Linked DNA regions of Drosophila melanogaster. Changing the gene in region 1 together with any one later gene gives a genetic interaction. Each region holds a gene or a part of one and is shown on either strand. Other genes may lie near its edges.

Region 1 (5,163 bases):
TAGCACAATTACGTACTACGTTTTTATCTTTTTTTGACAAAATTGTTCCATTCTTTATATATCTATTTCTAAATTCAACAGTGGTAAGAAAGAAGTTGTCCTCCGAGAACACCTGTTCTGATGATTCTACATTCAAAGAAGGAAAATACATCAGAGCGTTGCCAGAGTCCAGCTGTCTCTCCTAGTTATTGCCACCCTTGCCAGACTTTCAAAAGGGGGACGAAAAAATGGTACTCAACACTGCATTTTTGCAAGTTTTGTTGTTTGATCGCGCTTTTTACAATTAATTTAACAAGCTGTATTAAAATGGTTCTTATTATGCGTGTTTCCCCGCCGGAACATGGTCTGTTGTATACGGCAAACAATATCAAGCTGAAACTAGGCGACAAAGTGGTGGGCGAAGGCACAGTTTACATTGCCCAAAAGTGAGCGCTTTAGAGCTTTGCCGGTGTCTGGTATTGCTCTCTATTTATTAAAATCTTTTAAAGTAACTGTTATTTCTTGTTCCTAGCACGCTATCCTGGCAGCCAACTGAATTGGCGGAGGGTATATCCATTGAGTGGAAGCAGGTTAGCCTGCACGGTATCTCTTCGAATCCGAGAAAGTGCATCTACTTCATGCTGGACCACAAAGTCGAGTGGAACGGCGTCTACGGAGATCCTCCCCAGCAGGCAGTCAATGGTCGGAATGGCGGTGGTTCGGAAGCGGAAGTGGACGAGGGAAATGGCAGCGATGAGCACGATGAGGACGACAATTTCGAGGATGCCGTAGACGAGCAATTTGGAGAGGTCACAGAGTGCTGGCTTATGCCGGAGGACATTCACACCGTAGACACTATGTACAGTGCCATGACGACTTGCCAGGCCCTACATCCTGATTCGGCAAACAGTGATTCGGAAGACAGCGATCCTATGCAGGATGCCGGTGGCTTAGAGGATGAGGCTATGGAGGAGGATGATGCATTGACGCTTGGGCGCAACGGCGTGCAGAATCTCAGTTTGGACGACGACGAAGAGCGATTCGAGGACGCTGATGAGTGAAGCATAACCTATTTAAACATCAATACCACGTTTTATACCAGATAAAATGTACGATATATATGTATTGGATTAGATTTTGGAGTAATAAATAGAACGCGGTAAGCGCGATTAAAACAAAACTACGTGCTTTCCTTGACGTTTTCCTTATTACGAGCGATTTCTTTCTCTAAATCCTCTTCGCTAATGGGCTGCGAGAGCTAAATAAATAAAATGTGGTATTTATTAGGTGTACTTCGAGAATATATAGTGGTATATACATACAGCTTGAGCAACATCCGGCAGAGGAAGGGCCTGTCGGTAGGGATCGCCATTGGACGGCACTTTGTCGTAGTTCCAGTAAGTAAAATCTTGAAATACTCCAGTTAGCCGCAACTTTCGGTCGGAGGTATCGCTGATGGGCTTCTCTGTTTCTTGCAGAACTAATCCGCAGTATCCTTCGGGCACTTTCAACTTCTCTCCCATTAAAGGAAATCCGCGCAAGGCGTTCGTCAGGATTCCTGTGCCGAATTCGGTTGCTTCACGTGTGTAGTTGTTGAAGTAATTTTTTACATTCGCTTCCCCATCGCCGTCTATTTTGGCCGGCAAGTAGTGCACGTCTAAATTCTTACCCTTGGCAAAGTTCTTACCATTAAAATCTAGAGTAATTGACATTGTTACTTTTTGCGCAAAATAAAAGGTAAACAAAAACTCCGCCAAAATGTGTTTGTTTGTTTGCGCTTAAGAAGGATGGTTTGAGTAGCAGCTAAACTCATCGATTTACAACCGATAGCCAATAGTAGTTTAATTCGATAGTAACAATATAACAAAAACATACAATTATATTGTAAATCAAAGCTTGTAGATGGTAACGAGATCACTGTTTACCATCACTGAACAAGTTTTCATGCTGTTTTAAATTTAGTATCTGACTACATACGTATTATATATATATATTTGACAATATGCGATGTTTTCCAAGAATATTAGCACTAAAAAATCGATAGTATAAGAGAGTAATCGATTTTTCACTCAGCACTAGACTTTGTGCCACCACTAATAAAAATGGCGTTCGAAGTTGTAGTTAAATTTTTATGGGAATCCGTAAAACAATAGCGCGTGAGGCCGCGGCAGCATAATTCGCGCACTATCAAGCGTTCCGTGGACGAGCAACTGTGTGGGCGTGCGTTGTTCGCAGAGTTTTCGTCCGATTTTTAGTGAACTAGAACAATACAAGTGTGCCTCCTTTGATTATTATTGCAAATTTTAGTACCACACACACTCGCGCACACATCGATAGCGAAGGAAATACTAGTGCGAGTAAATAGTGTGGCACCCATACTGGAGCAGCGACTAAATTAAAGTTAATTAAACACACAGTGGTATTTCATTTAATGCAATTTGTGAAATAATAGAGTGGCAGAGGGAGAGAGACAGATCGAACCCCGCTCCCGCTCTCCCCTGCAGCATGCGTGAACTGCGTCCGTGTGTGTGTGCGTGAGAGAGTGAGCGAGACATGTGCGTGTGAGGTGCAGCAGCAACAACAACAACACCAGCAAAACAATTTCGGGTGAGTTTTTCGTGAATATTTTGCCTACCTGAACGATTTCCTACCTACGCCCTCGCTTTTGGGTTGGGTTTTTGCACTTGGGGGGAAAATACACACATTATCTCTAACGAACTTACTAATAATACCCATTTCCATTTGTTATCTTTGGATTGCAGCCTATAAAAAAAGCAAATCGGTGTTATTATTTATATACAAATATATCTATGTGCGTGTGCCATGACACACAGCAACAAACGCAAAAACTACAACAATTGCAACCGTCAAGGCTACCGCCACAGCAGCAGCAGCAACAATAACAACTGCAGTTACCTTCGGCAATGAAATTACCTCTCACCGCCCTCACCTGCTCCTCCTACACCTCCTTTGCTTCCTCTCCTCCACCTTCTACTTGCACTTCTTCTTCTTCGCTCTCCGTTCGGCGCTTTAACGACAACAACAACTACAACAACATGCCCGCGACATATAAATAATCAATACACAAAGTAAATCCATTTATTTTTATACAAATCAAACAATATCAATTAAAAGTCGAAAATTATGAATAAATTGGATTACCCACGTCGCAATGGTACACACAAAGTTCGAATAACGAGTAAGTCTGCTGATAAAAACAATTGTTAATAAAACCCACTAATATATCGCTTTACTTGCAGTATTGTGTGCTAGAAACTTGGCCCGCAAGGATTTATTTCGTAAGTATTTTAATATTAATTGGATATATCTTAGCATCTAATTTCCTTAGTGCCTATCACCTATCCGTCAAATAGGACGGTCTAAATTAGTTCCTAAAGCAGAACTTCCGGTCATCAAAAGCATAAAAGTTTTACCCTGTACTTCTTAATCGTTAGTGTTATAAAATATTAAATGTAACAGCAAAAAATTCCTTAAAACTATTTACCCAGCATGCCTTTGGCGTAATCACTTATTTTCGTAATTTGCTCACATGTTTGGGCTAATTTCTTGACTCACTTTTGGTTAGTTACGGGAAATTTGGAGCAGTTGGCATTCGCCAGACCCAGCAAGCTTTGTTTTCACGTTTGGTTTTCTTTTCGAAAACCATCAATTACGCACCTGTTTAGCCGTCCAATCGAAACACACATTGTGGTAAATTAAAGTTTTGTTTTATTTGCGGCGCTTGTGGTGCTGCTGTTTCCTCTTCTTCACATTCATCTATGCATATAAGGTATCGCTAAATTTAGCACTTCCTTTCTTGTCTACTTTCATTTTTATACAAATTGCGGAAAAGCCCCCTCCCCCCATCGCGCCCATCAAGTCGAGTGGGTGAGTGCGAGTGGTGCGCCATATCTGAGCTCTTTTCCCATATTTTGTTAGATATAACAAAAGTGATTATTACTAATTTGCTTTCATTGCGGCTCACTCACTCGCTCGTCCACAAATACAATCGCAATATTTTTTCTTTCTGTGTATTTGTGATTTACTATTCGCTTTTTCCACTTCTTGTCCATTTTTGTACACTTGGTTGCACTTAAATCACGCGCCACGCATTGTTCAATGTGCTACTAAAAAAAAAAAAAAAACATTCGATGTTCCTTATCCGTGAGATTCCAATAGGGGGATATTTGGGTTTCCGAAAATGGGTCTGTGGCCGCTGGTGTCACTTCAAATGAATTGTTTATTAATGCTAATGCTTGAATTCCGTGGTTGACTACAGAATATGGCGCATTCATTTGCTATTTTCCCTCTACTACCATATACATTGTACACTAGTAGTTGGTTCTTCATATTTTATCGATTCTTTGTGATAAGATTTTAGTTGAACCCAGCGGGGCTTACGGTCATTATAGGGAAAATCCATAATGGGACTTTCCGATATTCGTTATTGTGAGTAATGTAAACTTTTTTAACATATCAAGTTCGAAAAATGTGGAAGTAGTATGCTTTGAATTTTCCTTTGATTCAACACACTTGCCAAAGAGTTCAGTTAATCAGATAAAGAATATAGACGAAAGCATGATATCGTTTCTGTTAAAACGCCGAGCTTGTGATGCTTACAAGATTTCATTAGGACTAACTCGTGCATATAGAGCCTTAACAGAAGTAAAAAGCCTTCAAAATGCCTTACGACCTGGTAATAAAACTGGAAATATCAAGCTGGTAAACATATACCGAACTTCTAGCATACAAAATGTGAAGAAGAACCAACTAAGTGACGCTGAAAGCGTTATTCCACTCTTATTGCGGCCAGCCAAACCTGTGCTGATTATGAGAGAAGGATCTCAAACCGATTGTAACGACGATTTGCTGTCCTCTGAGCAAAGAGCCAAAAAAAGGGAAAGCATAAAAAAATCCGAAGTAGATTGCCCAAAATTTCCAGCTGAGAAACTTCCGCCCACAACGAAATTTCCTATTAATGAAAATGCCAAGAAGGTTTTAGATCCAGCCGACCAAAGAGAACTCGAGGCCAATTTGTTAAAAAGGCTTAAAGATATGGCTAAAAGAAAGAAATCTCGACTAGATGAGAAAGTTGACGAGCTGAGGGATAATTTTATAGGCTGGAATTATGCTGCTCTACAAGGAAGAACTATTGTGACTGTGGATGCCAAGGAATCAACTCCA
Region 2 (5,089 bases), on another chromosome or scaffold:
CGAATGCGAGCTGCCAGGCAAATATTTATGGGGTCATTCCCGTCTCGTGTCAGCCGCTGGCCAAAAAGCCAAAACAACTAAAACAGCTTCAATATCAGCTAGCTAGTATGGCCCTGAAGATTCCAACCGAGTTGCTAATTTAGTAAATAACAAATTTGATAACAGTGCGAGCAACCTGGTTTATCTACTAATTGTTAGCCAAGCTAAGTGGCAGGGATTGGGCAAATTTTATTGCAAAAACTGATATAAAAAAGGTGAAGCCTTTTTGTCAATTAAATATGTCATTTGCTTTTTATATTTGCACATCTTATGGTGCCTGAAAATATTTTCATATGTAATTATTGAACATCTATTTCTTAGCAAGCTGAGGAGAATTATATCAGCAATGTCAAAATTATAATAATAATATTTTTACAGAGTATGCCAGTTTGTCTCGAAAGCTTGAAGTGCGATTTTGAATATATTCAGTACAATCAATTAGTAGCTTATGACACATTTTATATATATTATGAATATTTATAATATATTTATTTCTATTCAATGCACTTTTGTGCCAACGGAGCATTGCCCAATTTCCATCGAAATCGCAGCCATTTTCGAGCTTCTCGCCAATTTCCATCACGTTGCAGTCTCGATCGCTTCGAAATATATATGTAAGTTGGAAATTCAGAAACTCAGAAAAACAGAAATTCAAAAAGTCGGGACTGAGACTTTGACGTTCGATCGTGACAGAATATGAATTGAAAGGGAAACCAGATTGTTAGCACTCGACTATGGGTATAGAGATGGTAGAGGTACTGGGCATGTCCATAAGGTTGGATACCGTTGTGATAGTGTGTGTATTCATAGTTACACACATTATCGAGCCAGTGAAAATGTTCTACACAACTTTGCTATGCTAGTGACGACTATTTTTAGACGTCCAGCACCACAGCACTTTGTTGGCAAAAATGCAGTAACAAAAATAAATAACTTGGCCAACAGTTAGTTAGTTGTTGTTTGCCTCGCCCCGCCGCACTTTTTTTTTTTGATGGATCATCGCCGTCGTGACGTCAGCAAATGTTGTTTTGTTCGCTGCACCGAAGGCGCAAAAATATTCGGCATATTTGTGTTGATCTCTAGCCGTCAAGCGTCATGAAACGTAATGGATACAGCTCCTTCCGCCTGGCCACATCCACGGCATTGTGGGCTGTCCTAGGTTAGTTTTCACTGTACTCGAGTCGAGTGGGCGAGGCCAAACGCCTCACTAGCCGCCAATCCCGGGCACGATTGGGCTGCCAAGAAGCTTTTGGCTTCCATGGGAAGACAGCGAAAGCCTTTAAAATGCCAAGCTGCACTGGGAAAAAAAAAACAATGAAGTAATGTAATTGGTCATGAACGAAGCTTTTGTAAATATACGCATTAAGCGATTTCTTTAAAATATATATTTTTTTTTACTTATGTAATAAAACTATTTTAAACTGTTTTTTAAAGCTTATAAGTGAAAATAAGTTCCTAATTATTAGAAAACTCAAAAGTATTCATTATTCATTACTTTTTTATCCTGAAAAGTTGAAAAGGGTTTGCAAATAAAATGAATATGATGAGATATTATGATAAATCACCTTTAGTTTCTAATAAAGCTACCAAAAAAGCGTTCTAAAGATATCCCTCGGAACCAAATGTATCTGAAAGTCGTAATATCTTAGATCCTAACGTAATGCTCTTGGAAATGGCTTTCTGTGGCTACACATACACATACACATGGCTACACAGCGATTTGTCGCCGCCGTGGAGAGGAAAGAAGAGGAAAGGAGAGGAAGGGAGAGGAGAGTCCGCTTGGAGCTGTCTATGTCTATTTTGCGAAAGGGGGAGATGGTAAGGTGAGCGATGCCGGCGAGAGTGGGTGGCGACATTGGGAGCGGAGAGTGATGGCACCAGAGAGAGAGAGAGAGAGAGAGGGAGATCGAGTGAGAGAGCGAACCGCTATGTCTAGATCTAGGTCTATATGATTATATGCTGAAAACTTCAGTTTGTCAAAGATCGCGACGACCGAACGAACGACGCTAGAGAAACGCGCACCGAAATCGATGACCAATCCAAACGATAACGATTGCCAGCCCGCAGGAGTCATTTCGAAAATTGCGCGCGCGTTTTTGGCGACGTATTGCATATAAATCATATGTATATGTCCGCATATACATATAAACGAAACGAACATATAGAACATATATTTCCATATCTCGATATTCTATTTCATTGTTCATTGTTGCCCCTATTTTTTTTTTCTTGTGAAACGTATGTATGTGCGCGCGTCTGTGGAATGGTGCAATTACAGTCGTAGTTATTGGTTTTTAATGAACCTCTTAAATTGCCATTGAGGAACGTGAAAAGTGCCCGAAAGCCCGAAACGGAAATTATACTTTACACTCATGATTATTAGTTGTGGAAATTGCAGCTTAAATCGCCATTAATCGACACACACATATGGGCGTGGGTGAATCGTTAAATAGTACTCATAGTGATTGCACTGCTACACTGCGTTTCGGCATGTTAAGTCTGGCCGTTTTGAGAAGCAATAACTATTTAACCGAATTCTTCTATTGCCCTTTCAATAACTAAATAACACACAGCGACTTGGCAACGAAATGCTAGCTCTAGAACAGATGAAGGTAATGATAAGAGTGTCTCAACAAACAATACAATCCTGAAACGCACTGTACCTGCAACCTGAAAGCTCTTGCCCCTCTGGATTATAAGTCCGTCACTTTCGGTTTTAATGATCGCATTGAAATGGAATGTCATCGACCAATTTCAATTCTAATTCCATTCCGATTCCGATTCCGACCCAATATCGTCGAGATCGAGGCGACACACGCCCCAAAAACGAGACAATTACCCAGGAATGGGGCATGATTTCTTTTATTATTACTGTGTTTAGATCGAATCTGACGCCAAAAGGGCGACCTAAAAAAAAAAAAAAAAAAAAAACCAAGACAAGAAAAAACGTAATCACAAAGAATGGGAAAAATCAATCGAACATCGAACATTCGATGCGGACCAGTTGCAGAACGGCAAAGGGGGCAGATCGGTGGATAGCTGGGATAGATAGACAGATATATACATAGATATATAGATAGATAGATCGATCGATCGATCGGGCGATCGGGCGATCGGGCGGTCGGGCGAATGATGAAATTTCCAGAGCGTTTCAATAGCAACCGGCAACAGAAAGAAAAAGCAACACCGACCGACAACGAACCATTTACAATTCCAATCGAATGGCAATTGTTGCCGACTTGCAGCATGATTCAAATCGAGGGCGTGACAGAGGAAATGGGGCGGGGGGTAAATACCTAGATTACCGTACTCGATGACGCAGCCCAGGTATGTGTAGGTACTCTCGATCGCTTGAAAGTCGACAGATACTCGCAGTATCTAGCGACAGTGATGAAGAGTTTAACTGCGCTCGGAAAATCCATCATTATCATGCCGCTGATATGATAACCAACCATTGAAATGGCTAAGCAACAATCTGTTAGTAAGATTGTATGGTGTTTTATTTCGATCATTAAGCTAAACTAAAACTTCCATCACTTAGTTCAAACTTTAGCTTGTCTCACGAATCCCATTCCGTCCATCAATTGATCAAACAATCGATCGCCGGATCGTTTGAGTTTGTTTGATCGTTCGATGATCGCGACAACAAGAAGAAGACGACCAAAATTTAACGATGTTGGCCAGTTGGCTAACTGCGGTTTTACTGCCACTTTACGTGCTGCTGTTTTGTCTGGCAAACAAAACATTCGCACACACATGACACACACACGGCACACATGACGTATACGCGATATTTTTGGCCTGCTCTCGCACAGAAACAGAAAGACATAGTGCGAGTGCGAGTGGGACGGGTGGACTGGCGAAGGGAGAAAGAGCTACACGGAATCTCTGTTGCTAGGGTGGCAGTTTGTATGGGGGGTTAGTCAGCTTATAAATAATGGAATATCATCTAGGTGCTTTCTGAGTGCCGCAAACTATGGTGAACTTTCGTACGATGGAACCTCCGGAAAATTACTCAATCGAATCGCACACAAATTTCCCGGAAATCTTATATTTCATTTAATGCTTTTAAGATTTTTTTAAGAACTTTGAACTTAGTAGTTGGTCTCCTTTCAACCTATTCACTTTTAATTTGTCCACTGTTTCTAACTGATTCACACAGATGTCTCAAATGATTGGACCTTCTGGCTTCGATGACCATCAAATCAATTGCATGTGACTGCAGTGAAATAGTACTCAACCACACACGCATAAGTGCATATTTATGTAGTACACTTGAAGAAATTGCATTGAACAAATAATTACAAAAGGAAAAAATATTTTAGGCAGTACGATTTATGGAAAATGCAAATATTTCTAGATTGAAAAAAAAACTTACTTTTCAGCTGTTTTGGCTGTTTAAACTAATGAAACACACCAATATTGATCTTCAACGTCTCCGAACTGTTTTTCGAAATCAAGAAAAGAGAATTTTCTCTCAGTGTGCGCATACTTTCTGGCCTGTTATGCAGTCAAAAGCCGTCACTTTGCCGCTTCTGTTTCATTTGATGTCTTTCTGTGTGCGTTTGCCGTTCGCCATTTGCCATTTGCCATTTAAATGAATGCAGGCAATTTTGCGCTGGTGGCTGCTGTTTTTGCTGCTGTTGTGATTTGCTTTTGATTGGCATCTAATTTATGATTGACAGTTACATTAGAAACATCTCGGAACAGCAAACAATCAGAATCGGGCCTACCGCAAGATCTCGCCAAGGCATCGAAAAAGCATCGCCAGTTGAAGCATCGAAGAGCTGAGACCTTATGGTCGGATATCGACTTAGCTCACGGTTGTCAATCAAGCTATTAAATAATTTACAAACAAACAAACACACACGCGAACACACACATTACATACATATAAGCACACACACACAGCACGCACACATAGATGAGCAGCACACTGAGAATCGAATTTATGAACTAACATCTTGATTTACGTAGTCTTCGCTGGCTGAATGCGGTTTGAAGCTTTGACACCTTGACGGGCATTGTCAAAGAGTTTCACACTCAGCGG

What was found. Genes that interact genetically often act in the same process or in processes that back each other up.
Region 2: of Smurf (region 1) and sog, changing one enhances a phenotype caused by changing the other (phenotypic enhancement), as found in Drosophila melanogaster (one study listed by BioGRID).

The regions. Positions count from the first base shown.
Region 1 is NT_033778.4:17,590,727-17,595,889, forward strand, and holds the start of Smurf (SMAD specific E3 ubiquitin protein ligase), read left to right. Parts: upstream 1-2,064; 5' UTR 2,065-2,586; intron 2,587-2,741; 5' UTR 2,742-3,123; coding exon 3,124-3,178; intron 3,179-3,239; coding exon 3,240-3,278; intron 3,279-4,540; exon of another isoform or gene 4,541-4,557; coding exon of another isoform or gene 4,558-5,163. Other genes in the region: icln, read left to right, coding at 307-425, 512-1,040; CG30105 (uncharacterized protein), read right to left, coding at 1,160-1,237, 1,302-1,691; ND-51L1 (NADH dehydrogenase (ubiquinone) 51 kDa subunit-like 1), read left to right, coding at 4,558-5,163. UniProt on the Drosophila melanogaster protein: E3 ubiquitin-protein ligase which accepts ubiquitin from an E2 ubiquitin-conjugating enzyme in the form of a thioester and then directly transfers the ubiquitin to targeted substrates.
Region 2 is NC_004354.4:15,630,371-15,635,459, reverse strand, and holds the start of sog (short gastrulation), read left to right. Parts: upstream 1-2,025; 5' UTR 2,026-2,651; intron 2,652-5,089. UniProt on the Drosophila melanogaster protein: Putative negative growth factor. Antagonist of dpp, a protein involved in patterning the dorsal region and in the development of the neuroectoderm; dpp inhibition is enhanced by tsg.